Linked DNA regions of Nothobranchius furzeri. The protein of the gene in region 2 interacts with the protein of the main gene of each other region in a pairwise test. Links are inferred from orthologs where the notes say so. Each region holds a gene or a part of one and is shown on either strand. Other genes may lie near its edges. The genes, in order: wash1, exoc8 and mbip.

Evidence for each region.
Region 1: the proteins of exoc8 (region 2) and wash1 interact in binary tests that used the Homo sapiens proteins (3 or more experiments, as listed by UniProt). The link is inferred for Nothobranchius furzeri from reciprocal best matches to the Homo sapiens genes EXOC8 and WASHC1.
Region 3: the proteins of exoc8 (region 2) and mbip interact in binary tests that used the Homo sapiens proteins (3 or more experiments, as listed by UniProt). The two-hybrid records come from large-scale screens. The link is inferred for Nothobranchius furzeri from reciprocal best matches to the Homo sapiens genes EXOC8 and MBIP.

The regions. Positions count from the first base shown.
Region 1 is NC_091744.1:70,581,890-70,592,436, forward strand, and holds wash1 (WASH complex subunit 1), read left to right. Parts: upstream 1-4,512; 5' UTR 4,513-4,676; coding exon 4,677-4,684; intron 4,685-5,381; coding exon 5,382-5,522; intron 5,523-5,821; coding exon 5,822-5,933; intron 5,934-6,004; coding exon 6,005-6,151; intron 6,152-7,634; coding exon 7,635-7,771; intron 7,772-7,864; coding exon 7,865-8,000; intron 8,001-8,099; coding exon 8,100-8,295; intron 8,296-8,386; coding exon 8,387-8,551; intron 8,552-8,714; coding exon 8,715-8,873; intron 8,874-8,990; coding exon 8,991-9,062; intron 9,063-9,144; coding exon 9,145-9,284; 3' UTR 9,285-9,698; downstream 9,699-10,547. Other genes in the region: iqsec3b (IQ motif and SEC7 domain-containing protein 3), read right to left, coding at 1,486-1,982. UniProt on the Homo sapiens protein: Acts as a component of the WASH core complex that functions as a nucleation-promoting factor (NPF) at the surface of endosomes, where it recruits and activates the Arp2/3 complex to induce actin polymerization, playing a key role in the fission of tubules that serve as transport intermediates during endosome sorting.
Region 2 is NC_091742.1:10,759,360-10,769,809, reverse strand, and holds exoc8 (exocyst complex component 8), read right to left. Parts: upstream 6,102-10,450; 5' UTR 5,953-6,101; coding exon 4,803-5,952; intron 4,640-4,802; coding exon 4,386-4,639; intron 4,243-4,385; coding exon 3,994-4,242; intron 3,879-3,993; coding exon 3,474-3,878; 3' UTR 3,153-3,473; downstream 1-3,152. Other genes in the region: DNA-dependent metalloprotease SPRTN, read left to right, coding at 6,779-7,110, 7,496-7,595, 7,690-7,818, 7,894-8,185, 8,275-9,008. UniProt on the Homo sapiens protein: Component of the exocyst complex involved in the docking of exocytic vesicles with fusion sites on the plasma membrane.
Region 3 is NC_091758.1:21,134,337-21,144,929, forward strand, and holds the start of mbip (MAP3K12-binding inhibitory protein 1), read right to left. Parts: upstream 5,141-10,593; 5' UTR 5,102-5,140; coding exon 4,982-5,101; intron 4,195-4,981; coding exon 4,078-4,194; intron 3,912-4,077; coding exon 3,732-3,911; intron 3,170-3,731; coding exon 3,073-3,169; intron 2,717-3,072; coding exon 2,651-2,716; intron 2,471-2,650; coding exon 2,312-2,470; intron 1,786-2,311; coding exon 1,688-1,785; intron 1-1,687. UniProt on the Homo sapiens protein: Inhibits the MAP3K12 activity to induce the activation of the JNK/SAPK pathway. Component of the ATAC complex, a complex with histone acetyltransferase activity on histones H3 and H4.

The DNA.
Region 1 (10,547 bases), on a different chromosome or scaffold from region 2:
CGAAATTACCATCCCATGTTATGAAACGATTGAGTTTTACCTGTTTAATGCAATTATTTATCTGAGTTTGCACTCAGAGTTTGAGTTTTGTGTGACTTTTATTACCACAAAATCAACTTTTAGCTCAACATCTGTAATTATAGTCATGTTTGCAAAACAAAAGAGAAACGGCTGATTCGTTGCCATCTTGAAATGGGTTACACATGTTGTACTTTCTGGTATTTTTATTAAAAGGTGGTTCTTGCGATATTTTGCTGACAAAAATGAGTGACTTCTATCATTTTAAGCACATATATTGCATGCTGTGTGGTGCTATATGCACTTGGAATGACTAGCCTACTGCAAAACCTGATTTCAACTCCGTATTTGTAAAACTCTGCTCACTTAAGGCGATGCTTTTGTTTTTTAAGCTCAATTTGCTGATAAACCTTGAGTTGGGTTGAAGCCCAAGGTTATTTATTTGTATAATAACATCCAAATTAAATCTCCCTGAGTTCTTCCATCAACATCTGTCCAGTGGTTCATGAAATAATCTTGCTAAGACCACATCCGGTTCCACAGATGCATACAAGTGAAGCCATACTGCAGAGTAAGCTTTTAAAGAGGACAGAACGCTGTGTCTAGAATGGATGAGAGCATAATCTGGGATGTGTAGTAGAAATGGCAATACAATTAATCATTTCTTCTTTCTCCCAGGTATTAATATGTCCTTTTTTTTTTTTTTACATGTTTCTTTTTATGGTGCTCCCCTCAGTGGGGGTGGAGTCCCAGAGAGACCAATCAGAGCTCCTGCTGAGATGAAACTTATATGAGCAGAACTCACATACAGGAGAAAGGAAGATGTAAATCATGGGTTTTCTCTCATTAGGTGATGTTCTGTAAAGCTCTGGTGCCATGCAGGAGTCAGGACTAACACAGCAACATCAGAGACCCGGAAATCCCGTGAGAGTTTCCGAATCCCGTGCTGTAATTAACGGAGAGGCCATCAGCACCATGGACAGTAACTCGAGGTGTCTCATCACCCCCGCGCACTGCTTTCTCAAACTGACACTAGCCAATGCTTTACGCATGCACTCACACGCGCGCGCGCACGCACGTCCTCGCGCAAAGGCCTACAGCTGTTTGTTATGTAATGATCCACTGATCGTGATCCAGTTTCTCATTTAAATAATCCAGCTCTCCCGACGTAGTCCTTACCCGACAGACAGCCGAGAATTGGAAATTTGCAGGCAGCATCTTCATTAATTAAACGCCTCTCAGTCTGTGGAACGCGCGCGTGCACACACGCACTTGATTGCACATAAGACGGATGATGCTCATCGTACTAGTACAATAAAGGACTCCAAATGGGGTATCTCATCCAAGAAATTAATGTCAGAAAAGTCAGAGACTTTGGGGAATAAAATTGAGGGCCTTTTGAGGGGGGTCGTGAAACAGTCATGAACTGAACAAGACTAAATAACCAAAAAAAATCTGTTTACTCACTCGGATTTCCTTGCCAGGGTCAGGGATCGACAAAGGGTTGTTGGGGTCATTGGAACCAACGACCGGCAACTGGGACAACTTCCATTCTCTGTCTCACTTTCTAAAGGCGAAATAGTGGACAGGTCTGCTGGGACTAGCTGCATGTCCCCTGGGTCCAAAGGTTGGGCCGGAGCCGCCTCGATCTGTGCTGGTGTGGCTGCATGGTCCGGCAGAGACCCCCCACCAGTCTTAAGCTGAGGTTCCTGCGGGTGGTGGTGATGATGGAGACAGCTTGGGTCCGGGAAATGATGGTGGTGAAGATGGTGAAGGTAGGGATGTTGTACCCTGACGTCCCTCAGGTGTCTGTTCTCACCGATGAGCTCGTCCACTCGCCTGTCCAGTTCCTCTATCCGAGCGCGCTGGGTCTGGATGAGACTCTGTTGGTTCTGCACGATAGTGGTGAGTTCCCGCAGGTACAGAATCGCCTGCACCGGGTTTTCTAACAAGCTGGAGCTCATAATGTCCGAGGCAAGAGGAGAGAGGAGAAGGAGAAAAAGAGAAGCTGCTGGTCTGGAGGATGGAGGGATGAGTAGGTGCAGATATTTGTGTGAATGAGAAGGTGGATGTCCTTCAGTTATTCTCTCCTCGACTGTGCTCGGTTGTGGATGAAGCTGCACCGACCGAGCACTTCTCCGGTCGCTTCCCTCCCTCCCTCACTCTCCCACTGCGCTGAGTGGTGCTGATGAGAGGAGCCAGATCCAGATGTGACAGGAAGGAGGGGAGGCGCTGGGAGACAGATGCGTCATTACACACAAAGATAAAGCCAGAGTAAGAGCGCACCCTACTGGTTTAAAATGTGGCTGCGGTGTTGATTTGTTTGATATAAACTAAAAATTGCAGTCAGGATTTTTTTGTTTTTGAAGAGTTAAAAATAGCTTTTAATTACCCAAAACCATAAGCAGATAAGCTTTTGTCAGTTTTATAATTCCTGGTTTTGAATGACTAATTAGTTTATTTATGTATGTATTAGTTAACGACAAGGGATGATGAGTGCTTAAAATGATCCCAAGACAAACGAGGTAATACACTGGCGCCCATTTAGTTGCAGAGATTTACACCAAAGAGAAAACACAATTTATGGCGTATTAAACACTGCTAAATTTGATATACATAAACATTGACGGTTCATTTGGATCGATAATAAACAGAGATATACATTTTATTTGAAAGTAATGCAAAAATTGTTTGGGTATCAAATGTTTCAAAAATCAAAAGCATAATATCAGTAAAGGCAAAAATGACTCAAATATCTAGTTTTATGTGCTTATCCAGTGGTTCTCAAATTAGGGTTTGTAACCCCTCCGAGGGGTCCATACAAGATAGCAAGGAGTCCCCACAAGTTTGTCAGTGCTGAGGTCGTGAGTTTACCAAGATTATATTTGTAAATACTAAATTGATAAAGTCTCAGTAACACACCCTATAGTATAATCAAAATTCTGGTGTTACTATAAAGTTTAGAATTAATCAACTTTAATGAGTATATGCGGATAAGGGTTGGAGTTAGGGGGGTCCTGACTTGTCTTGGACCTATAGGGATGGAACCAACGACCGGCAACTGGGACAACTTCCATTCTCTGTCTCACTTTCTACAGGCGAAATAGTGGACAGGTCCTCGAGGAAAACAGGTTGCAAACAACAGCGTTTTTCTTTATTTTATAAAACACTCGTGAATTGTCTTTAAGCCATGAACCATATTTTTCTTTCCTACTCAACATTAAGTCAACAGTACGTCACTTCCGATTTCGAAATTGTTTCAAAATCAAACACATTGCATCCACTTTCTTCTGAATCAGGCACACTTTATTAAATATTTATTCTGCGTCAAAACTAGAGCTTAGTTAACTACATTTTTCTCTATTTACTATTAACCACTTTTGTCTTTTATTTCAACATTTCATTTAAATTCAATTCAATTCAAAAATACTTTATTAATCCCAGAGGGAAATTGATTGCTGTAGTATCTCAGAATAATAATAATAATAATCAAGTCATCAAAGAGTTATTGTATATTACAATGGCTGTTGGCAGGAAGGATCTCCAGTAGCGGTCAGTGTTGCAGCGAAACTGAAGAAGCCTCTGACTGAAGGCACTCTTCTGTTGTCTGACAGTCTTGTGAAGAGAATGCTCAGGGTTGTCCATAATTTTCTTGATTCTCTGGAGAATCCATCTTTGCATTATCTCCTCCAGCGGTTCGAAACTGCAGAAACTCTGGCTGAGTCCTTGAAAGGGCTTGGAGTTCCTCTATCTTGTCGGCCAGTGATCTCACATTGCCCATTATGATCGATGGAAGAGATGGTTTGAATTTCCTCTTTCTCTGTCTCCATTTTGCTCCCGTTCTGCATCAACGCTTCTTGCGTTTTAGCTCATTTGGGATTTGTGGCTTCAGTTGAGGTATTATTTCAGCCTTTCCAATGTTAATCAGCTGCTCCCCATTGTAAACAGCTTGTTGCCATGGTTACGCATCATAACAAATGCTCAAAAAGTGAAAAAGCTAAAAAAAAGCAGTAAAAATCCTCCAAGCTTCACAGCACCAGAAACAGAAGAGTAAAGTGTCCAAAAATACAGTTTTTCTTGAGAAACTAGAAAAAAAATGCCCAAGAAAAGGCAAAACTTACATATAGTCAACAGAGCTACTCCAACATACAGCCACCCAGAGCAGCGCAGTTGGGATTTACGATGCATTTACATTCACAAGTCCAGTCTTCTAGGTATTATGACCTCTGCCACACCACAGAAACCACCGTACTACAATAATCGACTGTGATTCTCTGGAGGCAGGCGGTGCAGATTTGCAACAGTTAAAACCTACCTACCTGGTTACTCCACATATGTATTTCATGAACATTTTTTAACTCAGAAGTACCCCTAAAGGACGTAGTTGTTCATCCTTTTATCAAAACTTATTTTGAGCCTTAGAGGGTTAATAATAAGCACATTAGGTTTGAATTTTAAACTATCCGAGCTACCATGAAGGCAACACCATCGTTTTCTACATGGTCACATGATACAGTGATGCGGAAGTATGAAACCGATGTTTTGCTAGGCTATCTTGTAGTCGATCTGTAAGCTATAACAGACAACTAAACTCCTTTAAACTCTATATTTTCTTCGAGGTTTTTCTCAAAGTGTCTTTAGGAAGAAATCAAAATCCAATGGTGAGGTAAGGATATTATTGTCAGTGCAACGTCGTTATCGGGTGACACCTTCGGTAACCAATATCTCACTGTTTCATTAGTTGTTTTTTGTTTGTTTGTTTTTTGGAGTATATTTCCAAGCAGCAGCTGGCTCACATATGTATTAGCTGTGGTCCATTTTGCTAACTTGAGATGATTAAGCCCGGGAAATAAGAAAAAAGTAAAAGTATTAGTTCTTTGTGAGTCTTCGTCATGTGAGTCAGATGATGGGTTGTTGCTAGATGAACTGTTCCAGTTCCCGTGATGACTTTCTTACACAAACTTGGTATTGTGCTTCTCTTTGTGTCAAAATGGCTTAATTAAGTTTTCTAACCATTTCCATTTTTAAATGACTTTTTATCTCCTGGCTTTCCCAAAAGCGTGTTTAAAATCTCCAAAATTACTGCTTTTAATTGAGTGATTCAGTATTATTTTCGTCTGCTCGATCTGAAAGCATAAACCAACAATTTCTGCTATTTATTTGGGGTTTTGTAAGTTATTTTGACAAATCATGAAACTCTGGCACAGATTTACTGTGTCTGTGATGTTTGATTCACTGCAAGACGAGTTGATTAGTGCTTTTCACCTCATATGTTTCTCCCATAAGAGGTAGTTCCATGTGTTTTGCACGCAGCTGGATGTCTAATCGATTACTAACCTTGCTGTTGCACCGCTGCTTTGTAGGATGACACAGAGGCACTGCCTGGAGGGCCAGGTGTACTCGGTGCCCCTCATTCAACCAGATCTGAGGCGAGAGGAGGCTGTTCATCAGATAGCAGACGCATTGCTGTATCTTGAGTTGATCTCCACTGACATTTTCAGAAGGCAAGCATGTGTGCGCACACATACGTTCAGATTTTTCTGAAAACATATCTATAAAGCTACAGAGCTCCAAAAGAGAGTAATTGGAAGAAAATATTTGGGTTTGTCTTTATAAAGTCTTGCTTCAGGTTGAAAATTCCGCTTCCAGTGGGAGTGATTTTTGTTCCTATGTAAAAAAAAATGTAGTTGGTAAAACATAATCAATGCAATCTTTATGAACGAGTTAAATACACAGTTTGAGACGTATTCAGCTTTTATTTATAGTTTTGTTTGTGTTCTATTCCTGTTGGTGGTGCCTTCAGGGTTTCCGAAAGCGTAGAGAAAAACCGACGCCAGCTGCAGAGCGTTTCTGACCGTATCAGACTAGCTCAGGCCCGTGTTGACAAGATTAAAGGCAGCAAGAAGGCCACCAAGGTAACAGCAATTACCGTTTAAAAATTTTAAAATCCAAGATGAAACAATCCTAATTTGACGCATTTGTTTAGGTTTTCTCCAGTGCCAAGTACCCAGCCCCAGACCATCTTCAGGACTACTCATCTATCTTCTCTGGGGCAGTGGACCCTTCCTCACAAAACCGTCCCCATCACAAGATACAGAATAAACTTCGTCCGTTTGATGAGAAGGCATGGCAGGTGGGATAAAGTGTTCTCTAGATATGTAAATGGTTTGAGTTGCTAACATGTGAATTGATGTTTATGGCCAATTAGATATTTGTATTAAAATGTGTAATTAATGAAGTGGCCATTGAGTTTATGTTGACATTTGATTTTCCTTTTTTTTTTTTCTTATTAAAGTAACACTGACCAGCTTCCTGACCCCCTGCCCTACTGGTTGCAAGTGGGATTACAACTTTTGTAAACAACCCTGCTGCAGCCAATTGTAGCTAGCGCTAACAACGAGCTAGCATTAACAAGAGCAAGCTAATACTAAAATAAACCACCAAGTAAAAAGATCCTATTTGTTGAACAAAAAGTATTATTACAAGTCAAGTAACAAAGCTAGGTCACCATCAGTTTGCAATTATGTAACCTCCTTTAGCTCTCTCTATTGTAGGTCGTGCCAATGTTCTACACAAAAAAGTAAACGTCTTTTTTTACTTTTTCTTGTGTTTTTTTATTGACAATCTGCAAACTGAAAATGCTAACTGCTAGCATAACAGCTGACAGCTGTGAAGCAGGTAAAGAGCTCCCCTTATAGGGCACCTACCTACTCCACCAAACTGTTAAGTGCTGTTTCTGGTCAGCAGTGGGCTGCAGAGTGGTGTTCAGGGTGAAGATGGTGAAGTTTATTACTCACACAGTCACTTAAACCCACTTTTGATGGACTAGCTTAAACTGTTTAGAGTTATTTTAAACTGTTGTTCCGGAGAACGAGGAGAAACTGTAAAATGGCCAAAGTAGATTTTTACGAAGGTGGGGGTCCCATAAAATTAGATAGAAAAAAGAAATTCATATTGATACTGAAATTCTTTAAAAATCAGACATTGTGATTTCCTGGAGTTTTTTTAGCTTCTGTTTCTCACAGTTTGAGTAGCTATGATGAAAATTAGACTCATCTCGTCTTTTTAAGTGGGACAACTTGCACAGTCGGTGTACTGTGTTAAAAGTCGGAGCTCATGAGTCCTTTCTTCATTCAAATCGGATCCAGTGATTGGGTTAGGGTTAGATTTGCAAATTTGTTCAAGCATCGTGCCAAGCAGTGAATTTGTCACCCATTGAACATGCAGGAAGGATATCAGCAGCTGTGTGTCACTTAGCAGGGAAATTGGCTGTAAACATGTGAATGTGTGTGTGTGTGTGTGTACATGCCCCAGCTCAAGCTTTTGCATTATTTAAAGCTAAGCCCGCAGTTTATTTTTTATTGCACCATCTCGGCAAGAAAAGCGAGCATGTTTGCTGCTGTGTAGTTTTTGTTAGCATATGTGTGTATTTGTCAGACTGAAAGAAAACACAAGACAGTTTGCTTTGGTGCAGAAATGTATTATTCAAGAACCTCCAGAATTCGAAGTGTCCTCATTGGTATGATTGTCCGAGTTAGAAACGCTTAAGTGGCGTTGAGACGACGTTTTACAGATCACCCATAAACACACGCTATGTCTTCATCGTCTCCTTCCAGGAGAAGCTAACGTATTTCCCAGTGTGTGTGAGGAATAAGAAGAAGTCTGAAGATGAGACAGAAGAGGGATTGGGCAGTCTGCCTCGGAACATCTCATCTGTTAGCTCTCTGCTGCTCTTCAATACTACCGAGAATCTGTGAGTCAGCATATCGTTTCTGTGGAAACCAACTGTGTTAAGATCAGTCTCTGACTTCAGTTTTGTGCTTGTTTTTATTTATTTTATTTTTAGTTACAAAAAGTACGTGTTCCTCGACCCTTTGGCGGGAGCAGTGACAAAAACACACACCACGCTGGAAACAGAGAAAGAGGGGAAACCCTTTGATGCTCCTTTGTCCATCGCACAGAGAGAACAACTAGAGCGACAGGTGTGTTTTCATTATAAAATCAGAGATTTGATCAAATATTCCTATACAGACTTAATCTTGCTTTTAATTTTTAATTATTATTATTTATTTTTTTTACAGACAGCAGAAAATTATTTCTACATGCCAGATCTGGGTCAGGTTCCTGAGATAGACGTGCCATCCTATCTTCCTGACCTTCCAGGTATCGCTGACGACCTGTCGTACTGCGCTGACCTCGGACCTGGGTTCGCTCCATCAGGACCAACGCAGAACATCCCTGAGCTGCCCTCCTTCTCTCGGGAGAGTACTGCATCAGGTACACTCCGCACACTCGTTCAGCTCATCTTTAATACATTTTATTTTCTATAGAACTCACATTTCCCTTCATGTTGTTTGTTTTGTTTCAGGAGATCTGCCCCAAATAAACTCTCCTCCTCCTCCCCCTCCGCCTCCTCCTCCTGCCCTCACTCCCACAGCTCCTGCTGGAGCTCCTCCACCACCACCACCACCTCCACCACCACCACCACCACCTCCTCCCATAGAGACAAAAGTCGATAAAGTTCCAAGTTCAGGTGCGTCACCTCCGTGTAATTCAGACGAATCAGTGTCAGTAATCAAATCCTTCGTTTCCACCTCGCAAACGCACACCTGATGAATATTAACTCGTTTGCTCCCTTCTTGTAACAAATTGGCCTTCAGGAGTGAGATTTTAACTGCAGTCCTGACTGATTGCAGGCCCGGTGTCCGGCGCTCCGAGCGAAGTGGTGCAGCCGTCAGACGGCCGCGCCAGCCTGCTGGAATCCATCCGCAACGCCGGCGGCATTGGCAAAGCCAAGTTACGCAACGTTAAAGAACGCAAGATGGAGAAGAAGAAACAAAAGGAGCAAGAGCAAGGTATGGGACTCATTACAGCTCATTTATGCTCTTATTTATTGCTCTTAAATGTTTTCAAGGACAATTATTAAAAGATCGAGTTGCAAATATCATAATTTAGCAACTCTTGTTTTCTAGCGGTCAGAGCAGCGTCGAGTGGTGGAGACTTCATGTCTGACCTCTTTAACAAACTCGCCATGCGTAGAAAAGGTGAGACGTTACTTTAGAGTGATTTAACAACACTAATGTTGGAGATTTTATTTGGCTGATGCACCTCCTGGCTTCACTTCAGGTATTTCTGGAAAAGTCCCAGCTGCTGGAGAGTCAGAAGCTCCTGCTGGTACGGGAGGAGCGTTCGCCAGGATGTCAGACGTCATCCCGCCTCCTCCAGCTCCACAAACGGCAACAGACGATGACGACTGGGAAGCATGATGCACTAAACAGCAAACAGGGACTTTTGGGGGGATTTAGCACATAATTAGGACATTTCAATCAACAGGCTTCATGATTTTAATGCTAAATGTGTTCAGTCATTTGTCTAAAGCTGAAATAAACATAAACACACAATAGTTAGAATACTTTATTGATTTCTTAACAGTTTGTATTCAAAATATCACTTTGTTATTTTGATATTAAAACATCTGAGTGAACCAGTCAGATCATTACTAAATGAACAACTGGATAAATGTGTGTAGAAGCTCCTAGTTTTTCATTTCACTAACATTTAAATTATTAAACCCGAAAATGACAAATGTTCCTTTTATCTGCAATGTGCCATTAAATTACTTCCATTCTTAAATTTTAAACCTTGACAAGGAACATTTAAATAAAGTGATAAATCCAAAAGCCTGGTTGCTTGGTGTCTGCAAGAACGCCTTAAAAACACAGCATTTGGAGTTTTGTTGGGAAAGAAACTAGACTTGCTTCTGCTTTTTCTCCAAAAAGAACTGAAGGAAGAAAAAAAAACAAAATGAACTTCGTGTTTTCATCATTTAGCACCAAGTGTTGATATATTAACTGCTTCTCACCTTCCGTAAAGCGGCGAAAGCAGAACCAAATGTCGTGTGTATGCTGGTGCGATCCTTGATCCAAGTGGGAAGCTTTGAGCACGTCGTGGATCGGGAGTAACGTCTGTCACAGAGAACGATGGAGGCGTAGTCGCCACGGTGACGAATTGCCCTTCCTTTAAAGAGAAAAGATCCCAGATGTGTCAACCAGGCTCATATAAATATTCATGACATCTCAGATAGTTGTCGTCATCATCACCTATAGACTGATTGACAGCCTTCATGCAGAGGTTTTCCACCAGAGCTCTTCCAGGGCTTCTCCCATCAGTGTGAGGCTGGAAAATAAAAAAAGTAAAATTTCTCTGTGGGCTCATCTTTTATATTCTTTACGGTTTCTCCTTTAGTGTTTTAAATTAAAACATTCAGAGAATCATCAGACCAGGTGTTTGTCCAGATAGGACATCTTTTCCTGCAGCTCTGGGGATTTGATGTTGGGATACGGCATTCCTACCATCACCACACACCTGGAGCCATACACACAAACGGTAACATGTATGTTCTAAACAGGATGCAACAGCTGCTTAACTAAATAACACAAACCTGCCCAAGTCATCAGAGAAATTGATCCCCTCGCTCATCTTTCCTCCAACCACAGAGAAAAGTAATGCTCCTGTGAGTCCAACGCTGC
Region 2 (10,450 bases):
CACTGCATGATTATGTACATGTCTCATTACATTCAACCCTTCAAAGCCAGGAATATGAAATTATAGTTTAAATATCTAGTATTTAAAACAGGAATTTTTAGTGTTCATTGTTTATTATTTATATAAAAACCTGTTTTAATGTATTATGTAGTTCTATTATACAAATCATTATGATTTGATGACTTTATGCTTTGTTTAGTTTTGTTTATGTGAAGCACTTCGTGATTTTCTGTCTGTGATGAGTGCTATACAAATAACATTTATTTATTTACAATTAAAAAAAGATATTAAATAGTTCCTTGCCATGTGTAGACCCTCCACCAGGGGGCAGTAGACACTTAAAATAAAGCAAATAGCAGGTTTATGATGAAGGTACTAATCCTGATGCTTTATATGGACGCTTTAAGGCCAGAAGTGGTTTGATGGAAATGTATGACGATATTTTAGTAATTACTATGTTGCTACCCTTTTCTCTGTAATGTTACAGCATTTACTGGCACCTCTGCTACCATAGAGCTATTGATGCTGGCATCAATGCTTTAGCTCCAAGCCTGTCAGTTCCTCTTTGCGCAGACCAACTGGGATCAGACATGCAACTCTGAAGTTGCAAGAGCGGTAATCAGGCCATAGGGGCCACATTTTGTCTGAGAGACGTTTCATTCACCCTGCAAAGGGTCATTTTAGCGCTAACTTACATAACCAAGATCTACCCAGTATACTTAACGATAACCATAACGTGAGAAAGTGATGGTTTTACTGGGAAAATGGACTTTGATCAACTGTGAACATCAGATATAGAGATCTGCAGCTCTAAACCAGTCGCACCCTCTCGCATCTAATCAAAAAGATCATTCTGACACAATAGGTCTTAATGACATCAAGACTCCTCTGGGAATAGGGAGAAGGGGTATTCGTGTGTTGTTTCAGCTCGTTAAGAAACAACAGACAGCAGTTTATAAGCATGACCCTCCTGTATTATAGTCAGAACCTCAGAACTGACAAAAAAATCCTCGAATGAGAAGCGAAACTTCTTCAAGAAACCAAAAAAGTCCAGCTGCCTTTTGAACCTTTGGGATTACCATGGCCTGGATGACTGAGAACCCTCACCAGCATATGGAGAAGTGTTTCCTCAAGTGCTCAAACTTCTGCATACATAAGTCTTAGTAATAAAAAAACTGATGTTTATGACATGAATTTTACTTCATATTCTTTCAGAATTTGAATTCCTCCCAGAAAATCTCACCACCCTGATGCTCGTTCTCTGGGAATAAACCAGTGACGTCACCCGAGGCGTTCCTCGAGCACTTCATCATATCAGGGATTTTAATGAGATGAGCTGCAAAGCAGAGAGAAAATGCCTGAAAGCACCACACTGAGCCTATGACTCTGAAGGGGAATTATTTCTGATAAAATAATACAGCTGTAACTCGAGAGGCAGGGAGGGTTGTCCAGCAATCGGAAGGTTGAAGGTTCGATCCTGGCTCTAACAGAGAATGCTGCTGTTGTGTCCTTGGACAAGACACTTAACCCACCTCGCCTACTGGTGGTGCCGGTGCCCAGCAGCCTCACCTCTGTCAGCGTGCCCCAGGACAGTTGTGGCTACATCATAGCTCATCCCCACTAGCGTGTGAACGTTTGTGAAGGGGTGATGACTGATTGAGTTGTGAAGCGCCTTGGGTGGTTGTAGAACCCTAGGAAGGCCATTTCAGTACAAGTTAGACCCGTCTCACAGCAGGATCCTTCTCTGTGGGCACAGGTTTTTCCTTCTTTAATCTTTAAATGTAGCTTTTCAACCCTTTAAATTGTTTTGAATCTCATATTTTAAATTAATTTAAATGTTTTAAACTAAAATTGAAAAATATCTATTGAACTAATATATATATATATATATATGTATATATATATATATATATATATATATATATATATATATATATATATATATATATATATATATATATATATATATGTAGATAGATAGATAGATAGATAGATAGATAGATAGATAGATAGATAGATAGATAGATAGATAGATAGATAGACAGATAGATAGATAGATAGATAGATAGATAGATAGATAGATAGATAGATAGATAGATAGATAGATAGATAGATAGATAGATAGATAGATAGATAGATAGTTAGAAAAGTAAGTTAACGAATATGACATTTTAGTGCTTATAGCTTAAAATAATATTGTTTCTTTATTATTAATAATATTCTACATCATTTTAAACCCCCTGTTGCTCCAAATTAATAAATAATGCTGTTTTTTTAGCAGACTAACCACAAAATTGAAAGTAAAGCTGTGCATTTTTAGCAACGAAAGCCTAATTTCTATTTTTCTGCCACAAGAGGGCGACAAATCTCACTGCTAGGATTCGTAATCAGGCACTGAAATACAATTAAAAGCCTTTTTTTTAACCCTAGTTTCATTTGAGCAATTATGATCCCATAACACTTCACTTATACTTTACCTATCAGTTATGAGTGATTTTTATTTTACTTTTATAATAATCAGTCATAAACAGTGAGCCATTCACACAAAGGCATAAATTAATGCGTTAAGCTTAAAAAAAATCTAAATCTGACTTTTAGTAGGTGAGCAAAAAGGAATGAAAGAGCTGTAAATAAGGATGCCGTTTCAAACCACTAAACCTTTGATCTTTTTTACCAGAAACGTTTACTTTGTAGTTTCTGAAAGAAAAAAAACATGAAAAAGAAACTTCTGTGAAGTTTAAACTTTAGTTTTTATTGCAAATTACATTTTCTGTTCTTCTTATTGTTAAAATTAAACAGCAACCTTCATGTTTTATTGGATTTGAATGGATTTGCATGCATAAGCTGCAGGTGTGAATAAATGGGACCCATTTCAACCCCCCCAAAAAAAAAAACTTTGCAGTTCCCATTTATACTAAAAACAAAAAAGACTAACAGTATGTTTAACAAGGTTACTGGTTGCAGACAAAAACCACAATTTAACAGAATATCTGAGTGCTAATTTTAGTCATCCCCACGTCACATGCTCGTGTGTTTAAGCTTTACGTGACAATAAAAATACAATCATTTTGACGCGTTTAAACGTTCCTAAAACCAGATGTTTTGCTAACATAAGGAATCCCTTGTAAGATAAAATATTCACGTAAACGAGGTCAAACACCAGCAGAGGTCGGTTTATTCTTTCATTGGACTGAAGCGTTTTGTATGATGGATTATTAACCCGAAGAACTGAGAACTAAACAAGCTGCAGCAGGAAAATTTAACTTTAAATAAAACGTCCGACTGTGTCATCACTGACTCTTTCATTTTACCATCATTTCCTTCCTGCAGCATCTAAACACCCAGTAGTTAGTGTTGTGGATCGGGTCTGAGGGGGGAGGTGAAATGACAGGGAGGGAAGGGGGGAGTGGCCACCGGCCGCCGTTTCAGTCTCACGCGGTTTGTTAAACGAGCCGTCGAAGCTCCTGTCGGCCTCAGACTAAGGATGTGGTGCTCTCTGGGTTGATCCGCACCGGCCTCGTGCTCTTCCTCAGGTCCCGCAGCTGTTTGGCCGGTTTCCCCACACCCTCCTCAAACCGCCGCTCCACCACTGGCAGCACGGTGTCGTGGAGGAAGGTGGCGTTCTGCAGGACGAAAGCCTTCTTCTCGGGGTCCTGCTCACAGCGCAGGCTGTAGTCGACGTGCTGCACGGCCACCAGGATGATCTCCCTCAGGCTCTCCAGCAGCACCATGTGCAGCTCGGGGAAGTAGAGCTTCAGACCCTCTTCCAGGAAGCTCATCATCTGCTTGGTGAAGGCCACGATGGTGTAGCTCAAGTTCACCCAGCAGTCATCGCCCGTGTACTGCTGGAAACTAATCCCACAGCTACGCATCTCATCCTGCAAGACGAAGAGAAAAGCCTTAGATGCTGCTCAACACCCGCATTTTCTTTAGTTTTCTTCTTCAAACAAAAGAAACAAACACAAAATTGGGAATTAAGGAAGGCTGTTCGACCTTGAGCTTAGTTAAAGCCTCAGGGGTCATCAAGTTCATCCTCCTCCACATCTCCTCAGAGTTCCGGTGTTTTGTGGCCTCAATGATGATGTTCTTGTAGCTCAGCAGGGCTGCCTTGACGTCTTTGACCAGCAGCGACTGCAGCGTGAACGTCTGATCCAGGCCGATCTCCGTCAGCTGCTGACAGTGCTCCTTGGCCACTTTAACGCACTCTGCTGCTGTCGACAGGCTCTCCTTGCTGTCAAACACCTGGAAAACAGAAAATTGGCCGTTTTGAATCATTTTCTGAAATAATTGGAACAATAATTGATCTTGATTTTTTTTTTATCAAGAATAATGATCGAAACATATTTCTTGACTCATGTTAGGGACATCGCTGAGCCTCTGCTGACCTGTTTGCTAAACGCGTCCACAAACATCGTCATGGCCGATCTGGACCAGACCACAAAGGCAGAGTAGCAGCCCGTGTTCCCCGCAAAGTCCGTCTCAAACTCCTTGGCAGTTTCCAGCAGGCTGGTGAAGAAAATGTTGCAGAGTTTGTGGATGTAGAGCAGCGTGGCTCCTTCGATGCGGAGCTGCCGGATGGCCGTCTGGACAGCCGCGGCGCGGTTCTTCAGGAACAGCTCGCAAGCCTTGGTGGACTGACCTGAAACACAGAAATGACATCATCAACTGTTGGAAATATAACTTTAAATTGTTACAGGCATGGATTCTCCAAGGACTACTCTGGCTTTGTGTTGAAATGTTTACTGGTTTTGGGAAATCAACATTTTAATGGTCTGTGAGATCTTATTAATACAAATAAAGACCTAATCTGATGAGCTGGGACACGGCCCGCCGGGTCGCTTTAGGTCCACCACGAAGCGACCGATCAGGAGACAGCTCAAACACCAAGACCTCAGTCAGCTGCCGCACACGCTCATCCACCTTCGCCTTCAGCTCTTTCACCGTCTGGGTCGCAGGCTGGTCTTTGAGATACTCGTTCAGCTTGTCCAGCAGGTCCACTGCACCCTCAAAGTCTCTCTGAGCGATGCACACATCCAGGTCCTCGGGCAGCTCCTGGATCCACTCGAGACTGAGGTCCACACTCTCCTCGGCATCTGCCGGCTCGTCGTCATCCACATCAAAAGGGTTGTTGGACACTTCGGCTCGCACGGGAGAGGTGGGGACCTCCTCCTCTTTCTTGTGTTTGTCCTGGGAGGCTTTCTTTTTCTTGGTTTCATCCAGGATCTCCAGCCACTCCTTCTTGACTTTGCTGTTTTCCACCTGGAAGATGCGGCTGTCTGGGAACATGAGAATCTTGAACATGTCCTTCATGGGAGGGTTGTCCTTTACGTTGACCACAGCAAAGCTCTCCAGATCATACAGGGCATTGTATTTATACTTCACTGTGCCTCTGCGGTTAGGCAGCCAGGTGGCAATCAACAGGCAGTCATTCATCAGGAAAGCATGAGCCTTCTGGATGGGGGACATGTTGTCCACATCAAACTCCACGAGGTCTCCATTGTAGACCAGGTGTCTCCCTGGGGTGTCCATGATGTTTTTAGCTCCTTCCACCTTCTCCAGCAGTGAGGTGAGAGTCCTCTGCTTCAGGTCCTCTGTCTCTTTGGGGAACGCTGCCTGCATCTCTTTGGAGGTCTCGTCCTTGTCTGTGGACAGTAAGGCCTGAGTGATGCTCTCCATGATGCTCTTCTGCTCGGTGAGGATGTGGCTCAGCTGGTACATCTCGCTCTCCAGGAAGGAGATCTCCTTGGCCGTTTCGATGAACTGTCTGTAGTTCTTGTACACGTTCTTCTTGAGGTTTTGGGCCGTTTCATCAGCCAGAGTTTGAATTTTCTGACGATGCTCCTGAAGGTCTCTGTCGCCATCCGACTGCTGTGACAGCTGCTTGACGTAGTTCTGTGGATCGAAGTTGGGCGATTCCAGCAGCTTCCGAAGTCGGTTCCCGGTTTCCGACATCTTTGGTTGTCTGCGTGTTTCCTTATTAAGCAAAACTGTTAACAAACTGACGAGAAACGCAAACAGAGAACGAGCGCCTTCATATCCACGTCAACAAACACAGGAAGCTGAAAACAGGTCAACACCCCAAAAGGATCTGGCTTCTCCAACACCCGGGTTGTCAACGTCACATGAACGTCACGAGAAGGGAGAACAAAAAGGATGATCAACAAAAACTCAGAACAAAATTGTTATTGATCTTTCAGGTAAACCAAACAATGTTTTATTTTTATTTTAAAGCTTCTGTTTATTTATTTACTCATTTTGCTTTTTGTGTGTTGTTATTTTGCAGTTGTTACTGATTACTGGGCTATTGAACAACACCCGGAATAGGTGTTTTGTTGTCCAACTATTTACCTACCGGAAGTTTACGGTAGCTGCAGAAACATTACAGATTTTCAACAGCGTTTAAACAAGCTAATTTTAGTCATCTGCTGATTAAAATAAGATACAAAACTAAGCGGGGAAAGCCAAATCAAACACGAAATTAAGTTTGAAGTAGTTTTTTATTTAGAAGTTCATACGGAAAGAGACTCGTTGTAATGTAGTACATGTAGCAAACCTGCTGTTTGGCGCGAGCTGTGGACAGACCGACTATTATTACAGATACCTTTGGCTGACAAGAAGATGAGATTCATCTTTCAAAGTCATGACTTCAGTCCTTTTACCGATGTTTCTCTGAAAGGTTGATTTTATAATTAGGCTGCAGACGTCGTTTGTTCCAGAACTTCGTGCTATTTACATTAGCAAGTCAGCTAACAAGCTAGCACAGCTGCCTTCTGATGTCATGGATGCGGATTTCCTGCTTGCCATTAAATTACAGGAGCAGTTCGATAATGAGTACGAGACGTCATTAACCTCATCAAATAGATTCGAGGATAATTACTTCGAACAAAGCAGTAAGAGACGGAAAGTGGAAGCAGCCGGAGGTGGCAGCGCTGCTGTCCCCTCCTGGAAGCCGGGTCACGAGCCTGAGAAACCCCTGAGCATCGTGGATGAGTCCTGGGAGATGCTGGACCCAAACCCAGATGTGAGGGCCATGTTTCTGGAGTTTAATAGCCTGTTCTTCTGGGGGAAACTGAGCGGAGTCGAGGTGAAGTGGAGCCCCAGAATGACACTGTAAGTTTTGTTTGTTCACCAGATTTCCTACAGCAGGGATGTTTATAAACACTGTTGGCTTTACTGGGATTCAAATATGGTAGCCACAAAGCGCGAGATGCTTGGAAAAACATCATTATTGAAGAAAAATAAGGTAAAAGATTAAACAAATGGGTACCACTAAATATCTGACACAAAGTATGTCAAACATAATTTCTAAAAAAGCAAAAAATGTCCAGTTTCATGAAGCTCTATTATGGTTTCCTTGTGCTTCTATGCAATGTTAAGGCCTTCTCTATTGTATAAAATGTGTCCTGTTTCTTGTTTTGATGTCCTCCACTCCAGCGCTGTGTTACAGGAATAACAGAGTTTTGAGAAAATGCCTCCTGTGTGTTTCCGTACCTAGGTGTGCTGGTGTGTGTTCTTACGAAGGCCGAGGCGGACTCTGTTCCATCCGGCTCAGTGAGCCTCTTTTGAAGCTGAGACCCAGAAAAGACCTGGTGGAGGTGGGATGGGTCACTTTACATTAGTGGATCTTAAAGACAGAAAATCCTCATCCAGATTATTGCTAATAATTTGTTAATTTGATTGTTTCCACAGACTCTCCTTCATGAAATGATTCATGCACTGCTGTTTGTGACCCAGAACAACCGAGACCGAGAAGGCCACGGTCCTGAGTTCTGCAAACACATGAACAGGATCAACAAGGCCAGTGGGACGAAAATCACAGTAAGTGTTTCTCCTTCAGCTCTGTGTGGTTTTGGTTGACTTTACGATAACAATCTCCTCTTGTCCCTCGGTCAGATCTACCACAGCTTCCATGATGAGGTCGATGTCTACAGGCAGCACTGGTGGAGGTGCAATGGGCCCTGCCAGAGCCGGAGGCCTTTCTTTGGTTATGTGAAGAGGGCTATCAACCGAGCTCCATCTTCTCTGGACCCTTGGTGGGAGGATCATCAAAGGATGTGTGGCGGGACGTACACCAAGATCAAAGAGCCAGAAGGATACAGGAAAAAAGGCAAAAAAGATGGGAAGAAGGATGCAAACACCTCAGAGAAGACTTTACGTACTGGCAAGCCTTTAAATACAAGTAAAGGTGAAGTTTTTCTATTTTTTTAAGTAGTTTATTCAGGATTTGCCATCAGGACCAAATACAAAAACATTTCTTTCTTTCTTTCTGCTCAGGTTCTGGATCTCAGGATATAAGGAACATCATCCCATTCAGTGGGAAAGGTTTCCTCTTAGGAGCGACGTGCCAGACCTCCACATCTCCCTCAGCACCTCCGTCCAGCGTCGCCTCCACTCCTAAGAAGTCTTCCGTTCCTGACCAAACCAAAACCGTCTCCAGTGGAGCAGCTGCCTCCTCAGGGGGAAAGCCACCTGCAAAGACGTCTGTCGGGAACACAAAAGCTTTTGTAAACATTAACGGCTCACCTGTTAAAATTCCTAAATCTAGGAGCAGCTCTGGGGGTCACGGGGCCGACGCGTTCAAGCAGAGGTCCATTCACGATCTCTTCAATGTCAAAACTCACAGAAAGTCAACAAGCCATCCCTCAGGCTCAGAGACTAAAAGAGCGGCAATGTCTCCAAATTCTTCCTCTGTCGGTGTCGACACACCTGGGGCAGCGAGCCAAGGTCAGGCGCCCAGGGAGAGGCTGTGGGATGACTGCAGCAGCTCGGCCACCATTTTTGATTTTGTTGACAAGACATTAAGCAGCAGTTCAGCATCATCAAGGGAGCAGGAAAAGACCAAATCAGCTGTTACTGCAGCTTCCAGCTCCTCCACATCACTTCAACCCCCTGGAGGGCTGCACACGCCCTCCGCCGCCGCCAACGTGCTGATGGTCAGCTGTCCCGTGTGCCAAACTAAAGTCCAGGAGTCAAAGATAAATGAGCATCTTGATTCCTGCCTGTTCTGAAGGACTTTTAAACTAAATGGTTTTACGAACCAAAGTTTTAGATGTCTGTTTTGTGCTTTAATCTCTAGTTTAACAGATATTTTGTCACTTGACAGTAATATTGAGGTATTTTCTAACTCAAGTGGCTCTCTGACAGCTTGTGCCTCAACTGCATTTACAGAACAGCAGGGTTTTGTTAAAATGTTTTTAAAGCTGGTTTCTACTTGAATAAATAAGTTTATAATGTAGTCAGACCCTCTTTGTCTGAGGTGTAGGAGGTTTGCAGAGGGAGTAGAGTTCTTCTGAAGGTCACTGGGTTTATTTTGGGTTCTGATGTCTGATGCTTCCTCCAGAGGACAGATCTCTGCTGCTAACATTTCACTTCCGTTTGCTTTTTGCTTTGTACACCTTCACTTGGACTCAGCTGCAGAGTTATTGATCACACACAGATCTCATCAGTGATGTGAGACCTGGAACAGAAAGATGTAGAGTGATCGTTTTTGTTCGTTTATTTGTATGCTGAGATTTTAATAACTAAATAAAACCATTTTATTGCTCATTTTACCTGAATATTCTGATCCAATTTCATTTAGGTTTAGTTTTTTGATGGGTTTTTAATATCCAGGCCTTTACCCTTGTGACCACAGTGAGGCTTAAGTACAGCCGATCCCATTCACTGGTGGGTGAGGTCAGAGGTCAGACTGCACGAGGCCCAGCTGTTGATTTGGACCACGCCCTTCAGACTCCACTGAAAAGACGAGCTGAACCAGGAGCAAGAGGAATGGTGCGACGGCACAGATGGCTCTGCTGTCAACTGTGGATGCTCTGGATCAACGAGTCAAAGAAGAAAACACCTGAAAACAGTTTTTTTAATTTGAAATCAGAAAGCTTGAAAAGGTTTTATTACATTTTTTCTAGAATGATCACCAGACTTAACACGAGAGCAAAGCCACTGGCCTTTGGATGGAAATCCTGATGCCTCATTGGCCAGATTTCCTCCCATGCAGTCTTTCGGACTGATGAATTTTTCTGGTCCACTAAAGCATCACCTCCAAATATGGTCACTTGAGCTTCTAAAGATGTCCTGACACCAGACCTTATTTGGGTTTTACTGACGTTTCATCTTTTTCCTCAGATGTTATCAGCTGTAACTCGGAGCTGTTTCCTGTGCCCCCCTCCAGTCCCGTCACTGACGGCAGCTGTTTTCTCTCCTGACCGGCTGTACCACAGGAGGCTGACGCCCCACCTCCCACACCATCCTGCTTCCTGCCCATTGTCTCTCCCTGACAGACGAATCCCAGACCAGCTCCAAGTTCAATGCAGCATTTCTCCTTCAGCTGTAGCAACAAGAAAATGAAACTAAAGCCCACGTAGGGCCCATCTATGTCTACCAATAGGACCAGTAAATACGTACATTTCTACAATGCATTGCTGCATTCCTGCGCACACCAGTCCACCTGGTT
Region 3 (10,593 bases), on a different chromosome or scaffold from region 2:
TGAGAAATACCAGTATGAAGAGATGCGCAGCAGCTCAAGCACACTTAGCTAGCTAACACACTGGACAGGCTGCTTTAGTTCACTAAATTAGAGTCTGGGACTCTGGTGGGTTCAGCATCAAGTCCAACAGCAGAGCCACACAATGGATCTCTGCAACTAATCGCCATTGCGTCGGACTCATTTGTCCCCCGTGACCTAAATGTGTGTCAGAGACGATCATTAATAAAGGGATAATCCAACACCCCCAGGCTGCAGCTGCAGGTGACAAAAACATTCACTAAATAACTGAAAGGGTTCTTGGGTTCCTCACACACGTCACTGAAACTTCAAACGTGTTCAAAAATGTTTTTGTCAAAACAGATTTTCTCTCTAATTAGAGGCAGATCTGTCGCAGGAAACTGGAATTTGTCTCGATGGGCAAAAGAAGAGAAACAACTTGGGTAGGAGTTTATGTACAAATGAAGATTTTACCTCCTATAGGAGGCCGACTTCTTTCAATGTAACATTTGATTCTATTCAACTTAGACTAGTTTTTTTTCAGAGCCCCGGCTTCAATACCAAGTGTTAAAAAGACATCACGACATAATTTTAGAAAAATATTCATTTCCTTAAAGCATTTGAACCACTAATGGTTTAAAGAGCAAGTCATCCCCAAATCAACTTTTTTTTCTGATAAACTATATAAATGCATGTCTAATCGTGCTGCAGACACATGTAGTCAACAGTTTAGCACTTTAGTGCATCTTAGTTAAAATTTAAATTTTCTGCCTAAAACTGTCAATGTTGTGCCGTTGTCAGGTAAAAACTCTGCACTGCATTTGAATTTAAATCTGCCATCGCTATTGGCTAAGAGGTACCCTAGGACGTTAGCTGGTACCATATGATGTCACAATGTCGTTGTGAGCCTGTGTGCATTTGTTAGTGGCTCCGCCCTCTCTGTCTGCTAGGCAACAGCATTTGTTGCATTTTTCAAACAGGAAGTGGGAGTGAAGTAATACTCTGGTAGGGGGTGACTTGCTCTTTAAGTTCATGAGCCCCAGATGAAAATAAAACAGCAAACCAAAGAAAAGCTCAGGAAGGTAATTAGAATACTTAAACTGAAACAAGAAACTTTGCAATAGTTTAAACTTTTTTGTAGTTACATCAAATACCTCGTGTGACTCAAATATAACTAAAACTTCTCACATAAGTGTAGCAGTTCAGTGGACTCTACCTAAAACAGCAGATATTCTAACTACTTATTACCATAGAAGCTCAAGATCACCTGTTGTTGTCTCTAAACCTAAAACCTGTTCAGACTTAAAATTTGCTTCAGGAATGTTGCATCAATGTACTATATATCTCCCTCATTCCCACATTATCACATTCAAAAACAAATAACTCACATAAGTTAAACCACCTAAAGGGCGGTCCAGACATCGTCTTTTACAAAAAATGACCAATGAAGTAAAAGTTACGGAGAAATGGAAGCAAACTGCTTTAGAGGTAATATCTGTGAACGTCAGGGGAGGCTAAAAGTGCTCCAAGATGAAGATTTGCACAGAATAAAAATCTAAGAGAGCACTGGTTGAATTTGCATTGAACTACATTATGTGAACTGTCATCATTTAAGTTTAGTTTCTAATGCAGATCTCTGTGCTGTAATGTTATCTGAAAAAGCTTTGTGTGTTTAATCCAGAAGACTCACCGTGGACTGAAAGTACTCAGGAGAGAGTCCCTCCAGCTCCAGGATTCGATCCTCCAACGTCTTCAGTCGCTGGTAGACGGTCAGAGGAACCGGACCCACTGAGGAATAAAACATAAATATAATATGTTCCATACACCAGACTGGGAAAAAAAGGACTAAAACAAAACCCAGAAAATAGGGAGAGAAATCATCGTGTGACAAGATTCTCCCCAAAAATATGTACGTAGTTATCATCTGGTGTTTTAAATCAGCCAATATTCAACATGACAAGGTGATCAGTCAACCCAGCACCTGAGAATCAGATTTTCCCCCAGTTTGTTCAAGTTAAAGACAAAAAAAATAAAATCTGTTTTTTTTTTCCTAGTCCATGAACACACCATCACTATCATTGGTTGGTTAGAGTAGTGAAAACTCAGAAATCAGTATCGGCCATAAAAATTAGAATCCGTGCATCTTTGAGTGTGATTAACTCTTTTTTGTGTGACTTAAGAAAAACATCAAGAATTTATGTTCTTGTTGATATTTTATAAAAAAAGGTGCTCATCATGTCACAATATCTATATTATTTGTATTGTACAGTTTTATTCAGGATGTGTGACGCATCACTTGTCTCTCTTCTCTCACCTGACGGCAGTTTCAGGTGAGTCTCCATGTTCTGAAGTCGCTCCTCTATGGCTGCATTTCCACAGTCTCTTGCAGCTGCCCCCCTATGATGCTCTGCAGCCTCTCCCTGGCGCCCCCCGCCACGAGTCTGGGGCCCGTAAGTGTTTACCACTCGTGAAACTGATCAACCAAAGAATAATCACAGACTCGGATGAACCAACCAAATTTTAAATGATGCACATTACAGAAATCACACAGCATCCATGATGCTTGTTACCAAATTGTTAACAAAAATAATTTAGCTAGTGATGATGAGTGTATTTTTGAACGTAAGAGCAACAAAGAGTCCCCTTTTCTTACCTTTAATGTGGCTTTTAAAGCCTGGGTAAGGAGTGAACACGGCGTCCGTCCTGGCACAGCTGTTTTCTACAAAGGAATCAAATCCAAAACAAAAGTGTAATTAGACTTTCTAAATGTAAGAAGAAAATAGTCATAAAAAAAAACATTAGAAATGAATACACCACACTTGAACTGCAACTTCGTCTGATTTCCATTACTGGCGTCACACACAAGCTTTGAATTTCAAACAGCCTGTGTGTCTGGTGTTTTTCTGGCCAGAGCAGGTTGCGTTTCAAGGCCGAGTGTGTTAGCTACTTCAGGCCCACTCTTGGAGCAGTTCAGCCTGACCTCTCGCCTGTGGAAATCAGCTCTCTCCCAAACATTGGCAATCTGTGTGCAGCCTCCCTCTCCACCCTGCCCCCCAATCTCTCCTCCGTTCTCACCCTGATTGCAGTCGATCACGTTGCAAAACTCGCGCACATTGTTTTCATTGATCTCCATCTGCTTGCATTCCATAAATGCAGATATTCTTCGCTCGATCTGGAGTTACAGAGAAGACAGATAATAAGACACAACGGGTTGATGAGCCACTGATAGCTGTGAAGAATTCAATGTTTTGTCGACTTATTTTTACTGATTTAGAGTAAACAAAGTTCAGCGATTTATGGTTTCAAAAAATATCAAACACAGTGAGAGAAATTATTCCAGATAGCCCAAACAGTTGAATAGATTATCGTCATCATGTGATGGAATAAGAATACGGTTTGCCTGGCTACCAAAATAAATGCACAACAGAATGGGGCCTCTTGTCCTTCATCCACATGCAATCTCAGAGTAATGAGCATCCACTTCATAATCCATCAAGGACCTGGCCCTCTCTCAAACCCCTCCAGCAATGTGGTCCATTCTACCCCACCACAGCACTACAGAACCCTTTATTCTCTGTCAAACCCAGTATCAGAACTCCATCAAGCATTTGCTGCACATCATGTGCACATCCTTGGAACCAATTACTTATGATTATTCATTTGCTTGACAGAGTGTGAAGGGCTCTAAAATATCAGTGCCAGAACAGCTGACAGATCTGTTGACAATGACCAACCTCTGACTTCCCGGCTCGGATCTGAACCATGACGTCATCGCCCGAAGACCCGCAGTCTGCAGCCTCTGAGCTGTGACGCCGGTGCTCGGATGATAGTGACGTGACAATGTTATCCGCCGTGTCTTCCTTCACAGATGTAACATCAGCTTCCACCAGTGACCTCAGGCTTTCTGAAACAGCCTACAGCCAAACAGAAAGAACACTGACTGCTACAAACACATTATAAATTAGTGTTATTATTTCTTTAATTACAACACTAGTGACCATCAATTATACTGTAAATGTGGCACTTATTAGATATTGCAGTCATATGTAACATAAATTAACCAACGGGTGAATGTCTTACCTGCAACTTAGCAATGTGCTGCTGTACACAGCCATAAACACCTGCTTCTGAAGATGACGAAAGTACTACAGCTCCAGGGTTGACCTCTATTCTCAAAGCAGCATCCCCTAATTTCAGCTTTGAGAGAAAATAAACAAGAGTTTCATCAAGTACACATCACCACAGCTAAATAAAAAATATATAGTTCAAAATAGTAGAGGCAGAAAATGCTAAATAATTTAAGTAATTTAACCAACAATTTGGTAATTAAAAAAGAAGCAATTTTTCATAATTTGCTTCTATAAACGGTCAAATTAAATAATCTTATTGTTTTACACTGAACCTTTCTGCTGTGCTAGAAAAACTAAACCATTATTTAGCAAAAAAAAACAGTGTATATAAGACTGAATACATATATTTAATGTCCCTTTAGAAGCCCTGGGTATGAAAAGAGCTAAAGCATCCAGCAATTTTAATAATTTAGACGTAAACACGGGGGGAAATAGAGCAAGGTTAAATATATTTTCTAAGGTAGAAATGCGTTGTGGACAGTGGCATCAATAAACGTTTACCTGCAGGACCAAAAATTACATAATACTGCGTAAAAATGCCAAAAACCGTGAACGTTTACTATATGGAAAAAGAGGGTAAATGAAAATAAGCGTGATTTGAACCTAAACTGACGTGTGACACAAAAGTCTGGACATGTTTTTATTGCACAGAAATACAAATATTAAAACTGAATCTGTTAATTTAGATATAAACCATCGAGCTGACGCTTTCCTACGGCAAAAACTTGATTAACGGACAGTGAATGAACATGAACCGACGAGGCTAGTTGCTAAAAACATTAGCACACCGCTAGGAAACTACTCAGACTGGAATGACTATTCGGAGCGAAGCAGCTGAATCATTTCACACCAACCTCTTTCCCAAAGTCTGAAAGCAGCCCCAGTATTGCGTCCATGCAGTGTTTGTAACTGGACATTTTAGCTGGTTCGCTGGGAGGAGCTTTGCTCTCACTTAGCTTCGTTGTCTCCGCCATTGCTACTCAAACTCATGGAATACTGCGTGCTCATTGGTTGCGAGACGGTGATTTTAATCACGTGGTTGGTGGAACTGCAGGCTAAAATGACGCATGCGCATTAACAGTAGCGCATGAAAGTAAATTCAAAGCACAAAAATAAATGATTTACTGTGTTTTGCTCAGAATTTTGATCTTTAAATAGATTCTGAAACATTAAAAAACCTGTATAGTTTTTTTTGTTTGATCCTAAAGAGGGCTCATCATAGGTAGAAAGATGCTTTTGTTTTTGTTTGTGGAGATTTAATTTCTAGAAGGCTCATTCAGAAAGCAAAAGTCAACTTTTACTAATTTAAACTATTTAATAAACTAGTACAGATGCTTAAAATTGTGAAATATGTTTCAGTATAACAAAAAAGTAAACAATAGTTTAAAAAACAGCAGAGAAAAATAAACAGAAAATGTTTTAACTTTTGAAATGGACATATTATTTAGGTTCAGTATATTTGTTTGCCTTTTCTCAGAGGATGCTCATAAGGTCATGTCTTATTTGTATAAAGCATATAAAATAAGTTTTATTCTTAAAAAACTACTAATGTTTTTATTGTGCTGATTTTTGAGGTGCTTTATGACTTAAACTCTTTTTTAAATCTTGGTTTAAATGGACTTGTCTACATTTTTACAATACTGACTGACATGTCCAAGCCACATTTGCCTACGTTTTCATTCACCTGCTTCTCAAACAGCACAAAGAATGGCTCCTTATTATAAGCACACTGTGCTTCTTACTGCAGAGGACCAAGCAGCAGGGCATTGGGATGGGAACCTGCCCACAATGGTGTATTTCTCTGAGTTGAGTGACTGTGGGAAAATCTCCCTTCTCTATTCAGACATTTTTCACTTCTTTTCATATAATGAAGAGAGAGACTGATGAAGGAAACAACAGAAAAAGAACAATTACAGGCAAAGAGACGGCACAACCATGCACTCAGAACTCAATAATGCTCTTTAGAAAGGTTAATCATTTTAGGAAGGGCTCTGAAGATAAGCCTTTTTAGCTTAATTCATTTGTAGGGTGATATTTTTTCCCGTGAAACAGGAAGAGAACTGTAACACTTGACATGGTTTGACATGCTGAGCAGTTGCTAAATGTTCCCACACAGCGAGGAGCTCTGAAATTAAATACACTGCTCATTTAATTTGCCTGGCTGCAGACCCAAGAGCTGTAATTTTTTTTACCCTTTTAATGAGCTGTATATGTGATTTAAGGTACTTCTTGGAAAATACTTAGAGCATTTTGGTTGAATTTAACTTTTGAAGCCAAATTGCAGATGCTCATTAGCTAAGGGTCTGACTTGATCTTTCACTATCTTGTTAGTTGAAAAATCATAAAGAACAGAAGAGGTAATACTTACATCATCATATATTAAATTAAATACCAATACTTTGTAATTGCATGTTTTAATCGGGAATTTCCAGGTCGTGCCATCAATTGAACATAAACAACCATTTAGCTAAATGTATTTTTCATTTGCATATGTGCAAATAAATACCAGACAGTCCAAATTTGGTGATGTATTTATTTGAAAACAGCCTTTTTTTTATATGCGAATACTTTTACATATGACTCGGTCAGCAGCAGTCAAAGAATGCAGCTTCAGTCTACATCTTTATTTCCTTCAGCAATTCAAACACACACATAAGACCCAATTTTCAGCAATAAAAACAAAATGAAACATAGAACAGACATTATTATGATAGCCCAGGAACGTGCATGTCAAGCATAACAAAACATAGGAACAATATGTTAATCAGTGCAGAGCCGAGGGTTTTTCCACAATCCTTGTACGTTTGAATAAAAGTGAAAATAGCTTCAATAGGTGAGATTTTTCAGTGATTAATAGATGCAACAGTGAAAATGCAAATGTGGTGACAAAATGGTTTGGCCCACTTTAGTGTAAAGGATAAATAAATACAGGAAAATAAATGAATTACACCAAACACAGCAGAAGAGGTACTAGAACATGTAAAGTGTGAGAAACTAAATACAAACGTGAAAATTAACCTAATCTTTTCAAACAGAAGTTGTGTGTCCTGAGTCCCCTTCTGTAGACATTATTTGCTCATGATTGATTTGCTCTGGTGTTCGTATCAAAACATTTTCAGAAGGAACTGCTGTTGTTGGTTTGAACTTCAACATGGATGCGTTTATATAAAAGTTCTGAATTAGGATAGTTTAAAGAAGAAGAAGAAGAAGAAACAGAAGAAACAATTTTTTATATAGCGCCTCTCAAAATAAAAATCACAAGGTGCTTCACAAGAACAAAAAACAAAAGGTAAAAATATCATAAAAAATTGAGAAAAAAGAAAAAAATGATCAAAACATGTGAAGGAAGAAAAAAAATGAACAAAAAAAGGTAATCATGGGATCATGAGAAAGGCCGATTTGGTAGAGGTAGCAGCAGGAATAGAAGCTAGTGAGGAAAAATCATCTGGAGGTCACACAAAAGCTTGAACAGGTGAGTTTTCAGCTGCTTTTTAGAGGAGACTACTGAGTCCACTGATCAACCTTAAGCTAGCTGCTATTGGAAGGGTGATCTCAGCATCAGCCAATCATGAAGAGCTTAAATGTACGCCCACCAATGGTGGGCACCCCTGTAAGTGGAGCGACTCCACTGTTCGCCTCCGATGGCTCTTGATCCTAACAGAACCAGTGGGGCCATTTGCTTAAGGGCTGCGACTAGACTCATAGAATCTGGGGTTAGAATATGTAACCAATGTTCTATTTCATCTAGTCTTAGCCCTTAAGCTAGCTGCTATTGGAATAATGCGCAGCTGGATGGGTTTACGCCACACTGGTTAGCTCAACCAAATGGACACACCCAACATGTCTCCTTTTAGCGAGGGTCGTTCAGCCTCAGTCCAGGGCTTAAAAGGCTGAGGCAGCCAGAGAGAAGAGTGGGGCTCCCACTAAAATATCATCCACAAGAGGATGAAATTCATTCAAGTAGGGCTGATGTGGTGCCATAATGCTTTTACTCAGCCTGCTGAGGTCCAAGCACTGAACGAATGATGGATCCATGAAGACACATCTCGTAAATAATAACGAGTAAAGGAACAGGGTGAAGCCAATGAAGCAGCCTAACAAATGTCTTCCATCGATACACCACAGTGGAGCGTCATAGAAGAGGAAATCCCTCTGGCTGAGTGAGCCCTGAGTGTCTCAGGAGGATCCCGCCCTGATGATGTGTAAGCGAGTGAAATGGCGTCACACAGCCAGTGTGAAAGACGCTGGGTCGACAGCGCTTGCCCCAGGGAAAAATCTCTGTAGTGCACAAACAGGCTTTGTGAGCGGCAAATCCCTGAAGTGCGTGACACATATCGTGCGAGCGCGCGCACCGGGCAGAGAAGGAGGGAAGCCGCCTCCTCATCAGAATTATGGGGAGGAGGAAAAAGTCCAGCCAATGAAACTGACCTGGGTTTGAAGGAAGTATTAATGTTTTTGGGCACAAAGGCTGGGTTGGGGCATAAAACAGCAGACCCACCATCTTCCCGGATCCTGAGGCATGCGGGAGCCACTGAGAGGGCGGTTTGGTCGCTCACTCTCTTGACTGATGCGAGTGCCAGCAGCAAGGCAGTTGTAAGTGACAGGAACTTGAGTGAGACCTGGTCCAAGGGTTCAAATGGGGCTTCAGACAAGCTGCGCAGAACCACCGTTAGATCCCACTGGGGAAATAGCGGGCGGAACACAGGTCTGTTCCTTCTGACACCTTTTAGAAAACGTTTTGTGAGGGGATGATTGAAAACAGATCTATCTCCAAAACCCTGGTGACAGGATGAGATAGCTGCAGCATATGTTTTAATAGTGCTGAATGCGAGGCCCCTGTCCATCAGTATCTGCAGAAACGATAGGACATCCGCCAGCTGGCAGGAGAGCGCTTGAACATTCCGTTCTGTGCACCACTTTTGGAAAGCTGCCCATTTAGCAGAATAAGATGTGACGGTAGAAGGTGCCCGCGCACTCTGAATCGTGGCGACCACATCATGCGGCAGCCCAGAAGCCTCTAAGCGTGACTGCTCAGCCGCCAGACCCACAGCCGTTGGCCTATTTCTGGAGGATGTTTGATTTTCCCATCCGCCTGGAGAAGGGCGTCCGCCCTCCACGGGAAGCCGGACACCAGCGCTTATAGGTCTGGGAACCATGATGCGGAAATGCGTCTGGGAGCTACCAGAATTACCGAGAGTTGTTCCGACCGAACTTGGTCCAGGAGTCGGGGAATCAGTGTGACTGGCGGAAATGCATATAGGAGCATTTGAGGCCAGGGCTGGTGTGAGAAGGCGCCCGCACCAAGCGGGGGGGGGGTGGTCCCGGGGACTCAGGGAAAACCACAGGCGACACTGAGCGTTTTCGCGAGCCGCGAACAGATCCACAGATGGTTCCCCGAATTTGATTCAGATCTGTGATGTCAGTGTGGGATGCAGACGCAGATGCATTGAGATATGGTGAATGTTTCTTGCCCAGTCAGTGTGCTGATTAAATATATGGGTCATATATTTCATTTCATCCTTGTTAATCTTTCAGTGTAATAATAATATTAATTTCAACTTCAGTAATTTAAGCACAGATTATTCAAACATTAATATTAGTATTCATATAACATTTGTTCATTCAACCATATTATTATTTAATGATTATTTAACTTATGAGTTGTAAAAGTACTTGTGATTTAAGTTTCCAGAGATTGCCACTCTACATGAGCTACGGTAGGAAATCCAGCAGCAGCTTCACCAACTGATTGAGGGTGCCAGAAAAGATCTATTTTATGAGTTTGTTTCATGCAGAGACAGGGTGGAAGAAGAGATGCCAGGGGAGGATTCAACCGAGTTGGAACTCCTTTACTTCATTGTTGACTTTTTGAGAAGTAAACAACTGAGGAGTCTGGAGCACCAAGGAATGTCTTGCTTGCTGGTGTTTAGTGACCTCATTGATGAACTGCAGCCATCCCAGGAAGTAATGACCAACATCATTCAAAAGAGGAAGAAGTTGCAGCAGTGTCTGAGACTGAACAGATTGTAACAGCATCAATGCTGATCAGGTAACTAGGCTGGTAAATCTAACATGTGGCTGCATTGCTCCCACATAGAGAATTTCAGATTCAAGGTGGACAAATCTCAGATTTTGATTCAGATACGAGTTTTAACTGTTTGTGTAAACAAATGGATGAAGTATTAGGGGAAGGTTTCACAGAGGGTGAGGTTATTAGAACAGTGCTAAGAATCATTAAACCCAGAACATTCAAAGACATGCTAACCACCAAAGATAGTTTAACTGTAGCTCAACTGAAGCGTTTTCTTAGAGCGCATCTTAAAGAGACAATGTGTAGTTTTTACCGTTGATCTCTGGATTTATCTATCGAAACGTTGTTGAGAATTAATTAAATGATGCCCAGTTGTGATAAAATATTGGTGGCTTCCTAACATATAACCATTAAAACCGGGTCTAAAATACATGG